Saccharomyces cerevisiae S288C: one gene and its partners. The gene in region 1 interacts genetically with each later gene. Each region holds a gene or a part of one and is shown in the gene's direction. Other genes may lie near its edges.

Region 1 (7,410 bases):
TTTACATTAAATATAGTTTTCCAGTAGTGCACTATTATTAAGGCGCTTCTGTTTTTAGTCAACACTTTTTCAGATAGTACCTTTCAGGTGGTTAGAGTGCGATCCCTTTAAAAAAAAGTATTCGTCAACGATGACAGGGTAAAGAATAAATGCAGCACGCCTGGCGTATACTGCTATAATTGTACATCATGTTATCGGCGTTGATTCTCAATTGTTTGGTGATTAGCTTTTATATATAGATAGAAACCCAACGTTGGATAACCTCACGACTAACTTTTTTGTATTTTAGAAATAATTTGTCGATCGGTTGTATATTTTTGTCATATATTATCTAGAAACGTTAGGGAATAAACTGTTATCTAGGGTCCACTAACATACGCGCAGTTCGGAAATCAGCAAACATCACTTAAAGGACACCTGCTATAAACTGAATTGTGTCCAATTTTTCGAGTAGTTAGCAGTTCAATAAAGGGCACGTTATCAATTGTTAAAGGCAAAGAATCAGAATTAAATCATAGCAAACGACCAAAATGAACAGAGTTTCGTTTATTAAAACGCCTTTCAACATAGGGGCGAAATGGAGATTAGAAGATGTCTTTTTGCTCATTATCATGATACTTCTTAACTACCCAGTGTATTACCAACAACCGTTCGAACGTCAGTTTTACATTAACGATCTCACTATATCGCATCCTTATGCGACAACTGAACGTGTAAATAACAACATGTTGTTTGTTTATAGTTTTGTCGTGCCATCTTTAACCATATTGATAATTGGTTCCATTTTGGCCGATAGAAGACATTTGATTTTTATTTTGTACACATCTCTCCTTGGTTTATCACTCGCTTGGTTCAGTACGAGTTTCTTTACAAACTTCATCAAGAATTGGATTGGAAGACTAAGACCAGATTTTCTAGATCGTTGCCAACCTGTTGAAGGCTTGCCATTGGACACTTTATTTACTGCAAAAGATGTGTGTACGACTAAGAATCACGAACGTCTGTTGGATGGGTTTAGGACAACTCCGTCAGGTCATTCAAGTGAAAGCTTTGCAGGACTGGGTTATTTGTACTTCTGGCTATGTGGGCAACTTTTGACTGAATCACCGTTGATGCCTTTATGGAGAAAAATGGTGGCCTTTCTACCACTGTTAGGAGCTGCACTAATTGCTCTATCCAGAACTCAAGATTACAGACATCATTTCGTCGATGTAATTTTAGGGTCTATGTTGGGTTATATAATGGCACACTTTTTCTACAGAAGAATCTTCCCACCCATTGATGATCCTCTTCCGTTCAAACCATTGATGGACGATTCAGATGTCACCCTGGAGGAAGCAGTCACCCATCAGAGGATCCCGGATGAGGAATTACATCCTTTGTCCGATGAAGGTATGTAAGAATAAAAAAGAATATATACTCCACATGACATACGAAATATACGTATTTATTGTTCTGTATGGAATAACAGCGATTACATAAAGATGACATGTTACTTCTTTATTCAAATTAATCTTGACGTGCAAGGGCCTGCTTGTTATTTCATCGGACAATCCCAACATCACTTTACACGAAAGCCTTAGAAGTTTATTATTTGTTTTAAGTTGGACTATAGTGATGTAGGTAGTTTCTTAGGAAGCAGTTGAGTAGCTGATTTTTGAGATAAGAACCTGGTGTAATCAATCTATAAACAGCCTAGAATCTTTTTAAGCAAATTTACTTTTACATTTATCTCTATCTTCTTTCTTACAAGAAGTTATTTTCATTACAAAAGGACATTAAATACACTAAATTTTCAATCTTTACATTGTTGGAAAGCCTCGTTGTCTTTTAAGATTTTATAAGCATTGATTTTTTTTTTCAATAATTTTCCGTTCCCCTTAACACATACTATGTATAAATGTCATTGAGTCATCTCACTTTAGATCAATATTATGAAATACAGTGCAACGAACTTGAAGCGATACGTTCCATTTATATGGATGACTTTACTGACTTAACTAAAAGAAAGTCTAGCTGGGATAAGCAGCCACAGATTATATTCGAAATTACGCTTCGATCTGTTGACAAAGAGCCGGTTGAATCTTCTATAACATTACATTTTGCGATGACCCCAATGTATCCTTATACCGCTCCAGAAATAGAATTCAAAAATGTACAAAATGTAATGGATAGTCAATTGCAAATGCTGAAAAGTGAATTTAAGAAAATCCACAACACCTCCCGAGGCCAAGAGATTATATTTGAAATTACATCTTTTACTCAAGAAAAACTGGACGAATTTCAAAATGTGGTAAATACACAGTCCTTGGAAGATGATCGATTACAAAGAATCAAAGAAACTAAAGAACAATTAGAAAAGGAAGAAAGAGAAAAACAACAGGAAACAATAAAAAAAAGATCAGATGAGCAGCGAAGGATAGATGAAATTGTTCAAAGAGAGTTGGAGAAAAGACAAGATGATGATGATGATTTGCTATTCAACAGAACAACCCAGTTAGATTTACAACCACCTTCAGAATGGGTTGCATCAGGTGAAGCTATTGTCTTTTCAAAAACTATAAAGGCAAAATTGCCTAATAACTCAATGTTCAAGTTTAAAGCAGTTGTAAATCCTAAGCCAATAAAACTGACATCAGATATATTTAGTTTTTCCAAACAATTTCTTGTGAAGCCTTATATACCACCAGAATCTCCGTTGGCAGATTTTTTAATGTCTTCTGAAATGATGGAAAATTTCTACTATTTGCTATCTGAAATTGAATTGGATAATAGCTATTTCAACACAAGTAATGGAAAAAAAGAAATAGCAAATTTAGAGAAAGAGTTAGAGACGGTGTTGAAAGCTAAGCATGACAATGTGAATCGATTGTTCGGTTATACGGTGGAGCGCATGGGGAGAAATAATGCAACGTTTGTTTGGAAAATAAGACTCTTGACAGAGTACTGTAACTACTATCCATTGGGAGATTTGATACAATCTGTTGGATTTGTTAACTTAGCAACAGCGCGTATTTGGATGATTAGATTGCTTGAAGGATTGGAGGCCATACACAAATTGGGAATTGTTCATAAATGTATCAACTTAGAAACCGTGATCCTGGTGAAGGATGCAGATTTTGGAAGCACTATTCCCAAGTTAGTTCACTCCACTTATGGCTACACTGTTTTGAATATGCTATCGAGATATCCAAATAAAAATGGTTCTTCGGTTGAGTTATCTCCAAGTACATGGATAGCCCCTGAGTTGTTGAAATTCAATAACGCCAAACCTCAAAGATTAACTGATATTTGGCAACTTGGTGTTTTGTTTATCCAGATAATCAGTGGATCTGATATAGTGATGAATTTTGAAACGCCTCAAGAATTCCTAGATTCAACAAGTATGGATGAAACTTTATATGATCTTCTTTCGAAAATGCTTAATAACGATCCGAAGAAAAGATTAGGAACATTAGAACTACTGCCCATGAAATTCTTAAGGACCAATATTGACTCTACAATCAATCGATTTAACTTAGTTTCCGAAAGTGTCAATTCTAATTCCTTGGAGTTAACTCCTGGAGATACCATAACCGTTCGGGGCAATGGAGGTAGAACACTTTCACAATCGAGTATACGAAGAAGATCATTTAATGTTGGTTCCAGATTCTCTTCTATAAATCCTGCAACGCGATCACGATATGCTTCTGACTTTGAAGAGATTGCAGTTTTAGGCCAGGGCGCATTTGGACAAGTTGTCAAGGCACGTAATGCTCTCGATAGCAGATACTATGCGATCAAGAAGATTAGACATACAGAAGAAAAGTTATCTACTATATTGAGTGAAGTAATGCTGTTAGCAAGCTTAAATCATCAATATGTTGTGCGTTACTATGCTGCATGGTTAGAAGAAGACAGTATGGATGAAAACGTTTTTGAATCAACTGATGAAGAAAGTGACTTGAGCGAATCTTCCTCTGATTTTGAGGAAAATGATTTATTAGATCAAAGCAGTATTTTTAAAAATAGAACAAATCACGATTTGGATAATAGTAACTGGGATTTCATATCGGGGTCAGGATATCCGGATATTGTCTTTGAAAATAGTTCTCGTGATGATGAAAATGAAGATCTAGACCATGATACTTCCTCGACTTCCTCGAGCGAAAGTCAAGATGATACTGATAAAGAATCAAAGAGTATCCAGAACGTTCCAAGAAGGAGGAATTTTGTAAAACCGATGACTGCTGTTAAGAAGAAAAGTACGCTTTTTATTCAAATGGAGTACTGTGAAAATAGAACGCTATATGATTTGATCCATTCTGAAAATTTAAATCAACAACGTGATGAATATTGGAGGTTATTTCGACAAATTTTGGAAGCACTGAGTTATATACATTCCCAGGGTATCATTCATAGGGATCTGAAGCCAATGAATATTTTTATAGATGAATCGAGAAATGTTAAAATCGGTGATTTTGGGTTAGCTAAGAACGTCCATAGATCTCTGGATATACTTAAGCTAGATTCACAGAATTTGCCAGGCAGCTCAGATAATTTAACATCCGCCATTGGTACAGCAATGTATGTTGCTACTGAAGTTTTAGATGGTACAGGTCACTATAATGAAAAGATTGATATGTATTCACTTGGAATCATTTTTTTTGAAATGATCTATCCTTTCAGTACAGGTATGGAGAGAGTTAATATTTTGAAAAAGTTACGATCAGTGTCGATAGAATTTCCTCCTGATTTCGACGATAATAAGATGAAAGTTGAAAAGAAAATTATAAGGTTACTCATAGACCATGATCCCAATAAAAGGCCTGGTGCTAGGACATTATTAAATAGTGGTTGGCTTCCTGTGAAGCATCAGGATGAAGTAATCAAAGAGGCTTTAAAAAGTTTGTCGAATCCTTCATCCCCTTGGCAACAGCAAGTTCGAGAAAGTTTATTTAACCAATCTTACAGTCTAACAAATGATATTCTATTTGATAACTCAGTTCCAACATCCACTCCTTTCGCAAACATTCTCAGGTCCCAAATGACAGAAGAGGTAGTTAAAATTTTCAGGAAACATGGAGGAATTGAAAATAATGCTCCTCCGAGGATTTTTCCAAAGGCCCCCATATACGGTACGCAGAATGTATATGAAGTGCTTGACAAGGGCGGTACCGTCTTGCAGTTACAATATGATTTAACTTATCCTATGGCTAGGTATCTATCTAAAAATCCAAGTCTGATTTCTAAGCAATATAGGATGCAGCACGTTTACCGACCTCCTGATCATTCAAGGTCAAGTTTGGAACCTAGAAAGTTTGGTGAGATTGACTTCGACATAATTTCAAAATCTTCCTCAGAGTCAGGATTTTATGATGCAGAAAGCTTGAAAATTATCGATGAAATATTAACCGTATTTCCTGTATTTGAGAAAACAAACACTTTTTTCATATTAAATCATGCTGATATTTTGGAGAGTGTTTTCAACTTTACAAATATTGATAAAGCCCAAAGGCCTCTAGTTTCACGAATGTTGTCGCAAGTAGGCTTTGCAAGGTCCTTCAAGGAAGTAAAGAATGAACTAAAGGCGCAACTGAACATATCTTCTACGGCATTGAATGATTTGGAGTTATTTGATTTTAGACTGGACTTCGAAGCAGCCAAAAAACGCCTGTATAAATTGATGATTGATAGTCCGCATCTAAAAAAAATTGAGGACTCTTTGTCCCATATATCAAAGGTTCTCAGTTACCTAAAACCCTTAGAAGTTGCAAGAAATGTTGTGATATCTCCTTTGAGTAACTACAATAGCGCTTTTTACAAAGGAGGTATCATGTTTCATGCAGTTTATGACGATGGATCCTCACGTAATATGATAGCTGCTGGAGGGAGGTATGACACTTTGATATCCTTTTTTGCCAGACCATCAGGAAAAAAGAGCAGCAATACTCGTAAGGCTGTAGGTTTCAACTTAGCGTGGGAAACAATATTCGGTATAGCCCAAAACTATTTCAAACTCGCTTCTGGAAATAGGATAAAGAAGAGAAATAGGTTTTTGAAAGATACAGCTGTTGATTGGAAGCCAAGCAGGTGTGATGTATTGATATCGAGTTTTTCGAACTCTTTGTTGGACACAATCGGGGTTACAATACTGAATACATTGTGGAAGCAAAACATTAAAGCGGATATGTTAAGGGATTGTTCCTCGGTGGATGATGTCGTTACTGGCGCTCAACAGGATGGTATAGACTGGATTTTGCTGATTAAGCAACAAGCGTATCCACTAACCAATCACAAGAGAAAGTACAAGCCATTAAAAATAAAAAAATTGAGCACTAATGTTGACATAGATTTAGATCTTGATGAGTTTTTAACCTTGTACCAACAAGAAACTGGTAATAAATCTTTGATCAACGATAGTCTCACTTTGGGCGATAAGGCTGATGAATTTAAAAGATGGGATGAAAACAGCAGTGCCGGTAGTAGTCAAGAAGGTGACATAGATGATGTTGTTGCTGGTTCGACTAATAATCAAAAGGTAATTTATGTTCCAAACATGGCTACAAGATCTAAGAAAGCTAATAAAAGGGAAAAGTGGGTTTATGAGGATGCAGCCAGAAATTCTTCGAATATGATATTACACAATTTATCCAATGCACCAATTATCACTGTTGATGCCTTAAGAGATGAAACTTTAGAAATAATCTCAATTACTTCTTTGGCTCAGAAGGAAGAATGGCTGAGAAAAGTTTTTGGGTCAGGTAATAACTCGACTCCTAGAAGCTTTGCCACGAGCATTTATAATAACCTCTCCAAAGAGGCTCATAAAGGGAATAGGTGGGCAATATTATACTGCCACAAAACCGGAAAATCATCTGTTATCGATTTACAGAGGTAGGCCTTTAAAGATCTGTGCGGCGCTATAACGCATCAGTTAAAGGTAAAGTATATACAATGTCTTAGATACTATATTTAGGCTAGCTGATTCATCTAATTCACCGTTGTAAAGGGGGTAGGTCACCTTTCTTATACATATTCCTGATACTAAAGACAAATGTAGGTTTAATGAGATGGTCTACTTCTTCTCTCCTTTCTCTACTTTCCATTTTGTATTTAATTTTTCGGTGAATATAAATGTGTGCGTATGTTGTGTGAGGCTCCTCTAGCTCCTACGGGAGACATTTAATAAATGATCATAATATGGCGTGAAGAATGCTTTCATTCAGAAGTTTGACTAGCACATTCGGTTTCGTATCACGATTCCAAATTAGACGGTTAGGAACTAGTTTATCAATACAGAATTTAGAAGTGCAAGATGGCCGTTGGAAAGGTAAACTAGCTACAGAGAAGAAGACCAATAGGGAACACAAGTCAGTGGATACGAATATCAAGACAATGAAGATGCTTAAAAACCCGAAGAATTCTACT
Region 2 (3,979 bases), on another chromosome or scaffold:
TGTCACTGCAGATGCAAAAGCCACAGTGATTTGGGATTCCTTCACATGTGACGGGTCAGTCGTGCTTCGGTTTACTTCTGAAATTTATACAGAATCAGTCTTGAGATTAGCTAGAGACGTTAACGCCGGTGACCCACAGTTTTCACTCTGGCCTAACGTGACACAAATGGATCCTGAAACTAAAAAACTGATGACGGCGACCATAAGTGCCGACGGCGGAGGCCCTTCTGAAATTGACCCTAAGTTGGTTGTAAATAAAATCGATTGGTCTTTCAGTAACATCCTGAACACACATGTCCATTTGTCAGAAACCAAACTAGCTGATCTGATTTCCAAGTATGATATTGTTCGCGCTTCTATTCCATTGGGCAGAAGGTCAGCTCAAAGATTAGGAGTCAAGCCCGATTCGATGGTTCAAGTAGCTTTACAAATAGCTCACTATGCTTTGTATGGAAGAATGGTGTTTGGATTAGAACCAGTATCCACACGTGGTTTCAAAAACTCGAGATCATCTTTTATTAACATTCAAAGTCAAGCGCTGTTGGAACTATGTCAATTGTTTATTTCTAGCTCCATTGATGGGACAGATAAATTAGACAAATTTATCCAAACCTGCGAAACACATAATAACATGGTTAAACATGCAAAGTCTGGGGTAGGTTATGAAAAACACTTCAATGCATTGAAATATCTCTTCAAATTTCATGACCATTTTGGTATCCACTTAAGTGGTGATGAATCATCTGCTGCGAAAGATCTTTTCGAAAATCCACTTGTTTTACCTTTCTCACAGCCTGAGTTGATTGTTGCCAACTGTGGTAATGCTGCTACCACGACATTTGGTATAACTCCTGCTGTACCTCATGGCTTTGGAATAGGGTACATCATTAAAGATGATCAAGTAGATTTGACCGTGACATCGCAATTTCGACAGGGTGACAGGTTAATGTTTATGTTAAGTTGGGTGTTAGGCGAAATTCGTTCCTACTGGAGGATGTCACGCGGCACTTCTCATAATAAAACTGGCGTGAAGATCAGTCCAGTGGTCGATAAATTGTATGAAATGGACAATGCAGTCAATAATCCTCCGAAACGTAACGGCCATACAGTCAATGGCTCCCGCAAAACATCTTCTTCATCACAGGTAAATTTGAACAGGTATGGCGGGTTTTTCGATTTGGAAGGCCACATTGACAGTAGGAATATATCTAAAACACCATCGATGAAGAATTTGCAGAAAACCTTCAATGGCTTGACCATGAGCGCAGACAATGATCATTCAAGTTCCGCAGTTTCCGTTCCCACAGAAAAGGAAAAATTAAATACAGGCCATGAAATTTTACAGATCCAACCGCGGGAAGTGGCAAGTAATGGGTTGGAAGCAGATGATGAGACAGATATTGAAATAGTTGCTGGCAATGCTGATGGCACATCCTCTTCGGCATCTTCAGCTACATCTCTAAATTCCAAGAAACGTAACGTCATCAACTCAAGATTCGATATTGATTTTGACCGCAGTCGTGTGGGTAGAAAGGTGGCGACCTTAGATCAATAAGAACGCTCTTTGTTTATCTATTTATTACTAGCATTATGCGTAAGCTTGGCGTGATGTGATATATACTTGTTATATGAAGTATATCAATATGCTTTAATTTATGCTTATTATTTGCTCTCATGTCAGTAACCCGGACCAGATTTGCCATTGAAAAAATTTTCATAGAATAGCCCGATGCTGATCATCAGTACAAAAGACAGAGATTTCATCTCGACCTGTACCAGGAGCTAAGCAAAGAGGGCGGAAAGAGCGTAATACACCGTTAACATCGCGCATTAGAGGTAGACATGAGTGACTTACAAGACCAAGAACCTAGCATTATTATCAACGGTAATTTGGAACCAGTTGGTGAACCAGATATCGTTGAAGAAACGGAAGTTGTAGCTCAAGAAACACAAGAAACACAAGATGCTGATAAGCCAAAGAAGAAAGTCGCCTTCACTGGCTTGGAAGAAGACGGGGAAACTGAAGAAGAAAAAAGGAAAAGGGAATTTGAAGAAGGTGGTGGTTTGCCCGAACAACCATTAAACCCTGATTTTTCAAAATTAAACCCACTATCCGCCGAAATTATCAACAGGCAAGCTACAATAAACATCGGTACCATCGGTCATGTCGCCCACGGTAAATCCACAGTAGTTAGGGCTATTTCAGGTGTCCAAACAGTCCGTTTTAAGGATGAATTAGAACGTAACATTACTATTAAGTTAGGTTACGCTAATGCTAAAATTTATAAATGTCAAGAGCCTACATGTCCCGAACCTGATTGTTATAGATCATTCAAATCTGATAAAGAAATCAGTCCTAAATGTCAAAGACCAGGTTGTCCGGGGCGTTACAAATTGGTCCGTCACGTTTCTTTTGTTGACTGTCCCGGTCACGATATCTTAATGAGTACTATGTTATCAGGTGCTGCTGTTATGGATGCTGCGTTACTGTTGATTGCAGGTAATGAATCTTGTCCACAACCTCAAACCTCAGAGCATTTAGCTGCCATTGAAATCATGAAATTAAAGCACGTCATCATCTTACAGAATAAGGTCGATTTAATGCGTGAAGAAAGTGCCTTAGAACACCAAAAATCCATCTTGAAGTTCATCAGAGGTACCATTGCTGACGGTGCTCCTATTGTACCAATATCCGCTCAGTTGAAGTATAACATCGACGCAGTTAATGAATTTATTGTCAAGACTATTCCCGTACCACCAAGAGATTTTATGATTTCTCCAAGGTTAATTGTTATTCGTTCATTTGATGTTAATAAGCCAGGTGCTGAAATCGAGGACCTGAAAGGTGGTGTTGCCGGTGGTTCTATTTTGAATGGTGTTTTCAAATTAGGTGATGAAATTGAGATTAGACCAGGTATTGTCACCAAGGATGATAAGGGTAAAATTCAATGTAAACCAATCTTTTCTAACATTGTCTCCTTATTTGCCGAACAAAATGACTTGAAGTTTGCTGTTCCCGGTGGTCTGATTGGTGTTGGTACTAAAGTTGATCCTACCTTGTGTAGAGCTGATCGTCTTGTCGGTCAAGTCGTCGGTGCTAAGGGTCATTTGCCAAACATTTATACTGATATCGAAATCAACTACTTTTTGCTACGTCGTCTATTAGGTGTCAAAACAGATGGTCAAAAGCAAGCCAAAGTCAGAAAATTAGAGCCAAATGAAGTTCTTATGGTCAACATTGGTTCTACCGCTACGGGGGCTCGTGTGGTTGCCGTTAAAGCTGATATGGCAAGATTACAGTTAACGTCGCCCGCTTGTACTGAAATTAACGAGAAGATTGCTTTGTCGAGACGTATCGAAAAGCATTGGCGTTTGATTGGTTGGGCAACCATTAAAAAGGGTACTACATTGGAACCCATCGCTTAAGGAACCAATAAAACCACTGCAAAGACAAAAATTTCATAATTAATCTGAAAGAAAGTGAAGATAAGAAACGGGCTAGGAGGAAGGGAAACTGACACTTCTGGTTATTGCAATATGCTCATATACATTGATGCGTAATGACATTGATGATCTTTATTCTCTTTTTATAACGTTTTCTTTCTTTTTTTTTCCTTCTTACATAGTATTCAACTGTATATTTAACATGTTTTACGTATTTTTAAGAAAAAATTACTAAACGCGATAATATTAAGCAAATATTTATCTCATAGTTCTCGAACTCATTTATTTCCCATTGATGCCATGAAAACCTCTCAAACCTTTATCGTCTAGTTACACCAGTAGTCAATAAACTGCCTTTCTTTTTTTACACCCAACATACTCTACACTAAATCTTATCGGTGGTTTGTACATGGAGACAATTGCACAAAGATAATGAAGCTCCAAAATTATTCAGTATCTATTGAGTATATATAACCTTGAAAAGGTTTTATTTTATATAAGTTCGCCATCTTAGTATAGTGGTTAGTACACATCG
Region 3 (4,791 bases), on another chromosome or scaffold:
GTAAGAATATTCTAAGGAGACTGTTTGTAAATCAACTTTTTTTGTAAAATTTGGCCCAGTATTTTCATACTCAATACAGCCACGTAGTACAGGTACCGTTCCAGTGGCAGTTGATTTATCAAAAATCCATTGTCCTTGACCCATGATAATGCTATTTTCAAAACGGCCATGAGTATTGCGCAATATTTTTATCTTATATGCTATTTCATTTGGATCAGCATTCTCAACATTGAACTGTAAATCTATTTTTAGGTCATCAACTTGTGAAACTTTTTTGAAATTTTCAATATTTAAGGATAACTCAAATTCATCAGAATCTTTACCCAATCCATTTTGGAAGTGTAAAGACATCAAGCCAATAGAATTCATCCTTACTCCGGATTGCTTTACTTGAGAACTTAAATCGACGGAATACTCCAGCAATCTGAACTTCCCATCTGGTGGTATAAACGTTATATTAGAGGGAGAAAACACACCATCATTGATTTCAACACAGTCATGCAAACTGGGTATACCTATATCATTTCCCATAGTGTTTAATTTTACTGCAACTAGAGGATTATCATTCAAATAAGATCTCACGTCCACTATTCCATGGATACTTCCAGTGAGCAACCTTAGATGTGATTTTTTCTTTTCAAATACAACATGGAATGTTTCTAACAAATCCACATAAAGCTCATTATTCTCATGTTTGCTAGCCCTTGAAGTTCTCCAGGGAACAATCTCTTCATTTTCGATTAGTGAATTACTACCACGAGAAATCTGATTTTGTTGTAGCTGCTGTTGCCTTTGTTGTGGGAGTTGCACAGCCTGCTGTAAATTATGGGCTGTAGAACTTATGAACTTCGATAAATCCGATCTTTCAGGAACAGCTTCTTTAATTTTATTAACATAGAGCATATCACTCACATTTGGTTCACCCGCTTCGACGCAACAGTTAAAAATCAAACTGATTCTATCATAATTATTAACAATTTTCTTGATACTTAATTTATCCTTGTCAAAATATTCTAACAGGATACGATCTATAGTCTCTAAAAAGGTAAAACAATCAAGCGGGCCTTTTGACTTCGAAGTGGAGGCTAAGCACCAATAATTGAGCTTATTTATAACTGAGAAATACTTATAGACCTCTAAATCTCTTCCAACCATTGAATGGTCTAAATAATCATCACTACTGCTATCTTCGAGCAATTGAGGACATGTGGACTGAACGCGGGTCCACAGGTGCTTGAAGGAGGGAGCTGTTGCACCTAAAAGATACTGGAAAATAAGTTTGTTCTTTGTATCAGTGATATAGAATGACAAATACATCTATTTTGGTTGGGTTGGTAAGGTTTACAGCCTCTGTTGTTGCCCAAGTCCTGTTATCGCCAACTTTAAATAAATCTCTTCTTGTTCTTTGACCAAAAATTTCATTTTTCGTCGCATTTAAAAGAAACTGAAATTTCAAACATAAACACCAAAACAAAGCATCATCAAGGGAACATATAGTAAAGAACTACACAAAAGCAACAATGAATAATCAGCCGCAGGGTACCAACAGCGTTCCAAATAGTATTGGAAATATATTTAGCAACATTGGAACTCCATCTTTTAACATGGCGCAAATTCCGCAACAGCTGTATCAGAGCCTCACACCACAACAATTGCAGATGATTCAGCAACGACACCAACAGTTACTGAGGAGTCGTCTACAACAACAACAACAACAACAACAACAAACTTCACCGCCACCGCAAACGCATCAATCTCCACCCCCTCCTCCGCAACAATCTCAACCCATTGCTAATCAATCAGCGACTTCTACCCCTCCTCCTCCTCCAGCACCACACAACTTACATCCCCAAATTGGTCAAGTGCCCTTAGCTCCAGCGCCTATTAATTTGCCTCCACAAATTGCTCAGTTACCTTTGGCTACACAGCAACAAGTTTTGAACAAGTTGAGGCAGCAGGCCATAGCAAAAAATAATCCACAGGTTGTGAATGCAATTACTGTTGCACAACAACAAGTGCAACGCCAAATTGAGCAGCAAAAGGGACAGCAAACGGCACAAACTCAGCTAGAACAGCAGAGGCAATTGCTGGTTCAGCAGCAACAGCAGCAGCAACTTAGAAACCAAATACAGCGACAACAGCAACAACAGTTTAGGCATCATGTGCAAATACAACAGCAGCAACAAAAGCAACAACAACAGCAGCAGCAGCATCAGCAACAACAACAACAACAACAGCAACAGCAGCAACAGCAACAGCAACAGCAGCAGCAACAACAACAGCAACAACAACAACAACAGCAGCAGCAGCAGCAGCAGCAGCAAGGACAAATACCGCAATCTCAGCAAGTTCCTCAAGTTAGATCCATGAGTGGACAACCTCCCACCAATGTTCAGCCAACTATTGGCCAACTTCCTCAACTTCCAAAATTAAACTTACCCAAGTACCAAACTATTCAATACGATCCACCAGAAACCAAGCTACCATATCCAACCTATTGGTCAGACAAAAAAGCAGATACGGATACTTTGTTGTACGAACAAATTATCCAGCGTGATAAAATTAACAAATATTCGCTAATAAGAGAAACCAATGGTTACGATCCGTTTAGCATTTATGGATTTAGTAATAAAGAGTATATTAGTAGACTGTGGCATACACTGAAGTATTATCAAGATTTGAAGAACACTAGAATGAAATCTATCACAAGCACTTCTCAGAAGATTCCTTCGGCAAGTATTTGGGGAAATGGTTACTCAGGGTATGGTAATGGGATTACGAATACAACTACCAGAGTTATTCCACAAGTAGAAGTTGGAAATAGGAAGCATTACCTAGAGGATAAATTAAAAGTCTATAAACAGGCCATGAATGAGACATCGGAACAGTTAGTTCCCATAAGATTGGAGTTCGATCAAGATCGTGACAGATTCTTCCTCAGGGACACTTTGTTATGGAACAAAAATGACAAGCTTATTAAAATTGAAGACTTTGTGGACGACATGTTGCGAGATTACCGATTTGAGGACGCTACGAGAGAGCAACACATTGATACTATTTGTCAATCTATACAAGAGCAGATTCAGGAGTTTCAAGGAAATCCATATATAGAGTTGAATCAGGACCGTCTAGGCGGTGATGACTTGAGAATTAGAATCAAGCTGGATATTGTCGTGGGACAAAACCAGTTAATCGATCAATTTGAGTGGGACATCTCTAATAGTGATAACTGTCCAGAAGAGTTTGCAGAGTCCATGTGTCAAGAATTAGAACTACCAGGTGAGTTTGTGACTGCCATTGCTCACTCCATAAGAGAGCAAGTTCATATGTATCATAAATCACTGGCACTGTTAGGTTACAATTTTGATGGATCAGCGATAGAAGATGATGACATTAGAAGCAGAATGCTCCCAACGATTACTCTTGATGATGTTTATAGGCCTGCAGCGGAAAGCAAAATTTTTACTCCAAACCTATTACAGATTTCAGCTGCAGAGTTAGAGAGATTGGATAAAGATAAGGACAGAGACACAAGAAGGAAAAGAAGACAAGGTAGATCTAATAGACGTGGTATGCTCGCATTGTCCGGCACATCTGCAAGTAATACATCTATGAACGGCGTTCACAACACAGTAGCAGCAGGAAATGCTTCATCGTTGCCACCAGGAGAGATTTTACTGCCAGATATTGCAGATATTCCAAGAACTTTCAGGACTCCAGTACCTAGCACTTTAATGCCTGGTGGTGTTGACGTAGGCCCTTCTGTGGAATCGTACGAATTGAGAAACACAACCACTTATAAAAGCAGGCCAGATAGACCTAAGCCAGTTTCACCTCCTTGTTATATTATTGACCATATTCCGGGTCATTCGCTACTACTTTCTATTAAACTGCCTGGGAAAGTTAATACAAAAGAAGAGTTCGCAGCAGCGCCCAATGACACAAGTAGTGGCACCAATGCAATGCTTCCGAGTCCAGAATCGCTGAAAACTAAGCTGAATAGTAACATTCGCGCTGGTGTGACGATACCTTCAATCCCAAACCCGATTGCCAATCACACTGTTACTAATTCACCCAATCCCACACTGCAGCCAGTAATCCCAGGTGGGGCAGCTAGTAAATCGGTACCTACACCTAGTCTTCCTATAGCACCTCCAGTAGCACCACATGATAGCGAAGCGACATTGTTGACTAATAGCAATAATGGTAGCAGTAACAATAACACACAGAATACATAGAAAATATATACACATATATAAAATATACCGGAGATGTAAATAACCGTGGAAGAATTTGTATTATCATCGTGTTATACGATGCGGAGTCCCTTTGCGCCTACTTTTTTTAGAAGAATAGTACATAACCTTTATAAAAATCTTCCAATTTAGATACATAAAAAGAGCATGAGAATAACAAGAACACGTAGTCTAGGAAACTAAGCGCTATGCCAGAGCAAGAACTACTTATAGGGCAAGAAATGAATACACTTCATGCAGGTTCATCTACTGATGGCATAAATGTCGGAAACGCAGGACGAACTAGAGACACACAAACTGGCGTAGAAGGGGAAACGGAAATAGGGTCTGACGAGGAAGATAGCATAGAGGACGAGGGAAGCAGCAGTGGAGGAAATAGTACGACAGAAAGACTAGTACCACACCAGCTGAGGGAACAAGCAGCCAGACATATAGGAAAAATAGGAAGACATTTTAATATTCTTGATAGACTTTTTAAGAAACGTACACAACAGTCTTCGGATATACAACAAGGTGCCATGTTTGATGGTGTCTT

What was found. A genetic interaction does not mean that the proteins touch.
Region 2: of GCN2 (region 1) and GCD11, a mutation in one rescues a mutant of the other (synthetic rescue), as found in Saccharomyces cerevisiae (3 studies listed by BioGRID, with this or other methods).
Region 3: mutations in GCN2 (region 1) and SNF5 together harm fitness more than expected from each alone (negative genetic interaction), as found in Saccharomyces cerevisiae (3 studies listed by BioGRID).

What each region holds. Positions count from the first base shown.
Region 1 is NC_001136.10:1,024,540-1,031,949, reverse strand, and holds GCN2 (serine/threonine-protein kinase GCN2), read left to right. Parts: upstream 1-1,900; coding exon 1,901-6,880; downstream 6,881-7,410. Other genes in the region: DPP1 (bifunctional diacylglycerol diphosphate phosphatase/phosphatidate phosphatase), read left to right, coding at 531-1,400; MRX10 (Mrx10p), read left to right, coding at 7,195-7,410. UniProt on the Saccharomyces cerevisiae protein: Metabolic-stress sensing protein kinase that phosphorylates the alpha subunit of eukaryotic translation initiation factor 2 (eIF-2-alpha/SUI2) on 'Ser-52' in response to low amino acid, carbon, or purine availability.
Region 2 is NC_001137.3:203,409-207,387, forward strand, and holds GCD11 (translation initiation factor eIF2 subunit gamma), read left to right. Parts: upstream 1-1,842; coding exon 1,843-3,426; downstream 3,427-3,979. Other genes in the region: carnitine O-acetyltransferase YAT2, read left to right, coding at 1-1,555. UniProt on the Saccharomyces cerevisiae protein: As a subunit of eukaryotic initiation factor 2 eIF2, involved in the early steps of protein synthesis.
Region 3 is NC_001134.8:778,147-782,937, forward strand, and holds SNF5 (Snf5p), read left to right. Parts: upstream 1-1,520; coding exon 1,521-4,238; downstream 4,239-4,791. Other genes in the region: APM3 (Apm3p), read right to left, coding at 1-1,317; BSD2 (Bsd2p), read left to right, coding at 4,445-4,791. UniProt on the Saccharomyces cerevisiae protein: Involved in transcriptional activation. Component of the SWI/SNF complex, an ATP-dependent chromatin-remodeling complex, which is required for the positive and negative regulation of gene expression of a large number of genes.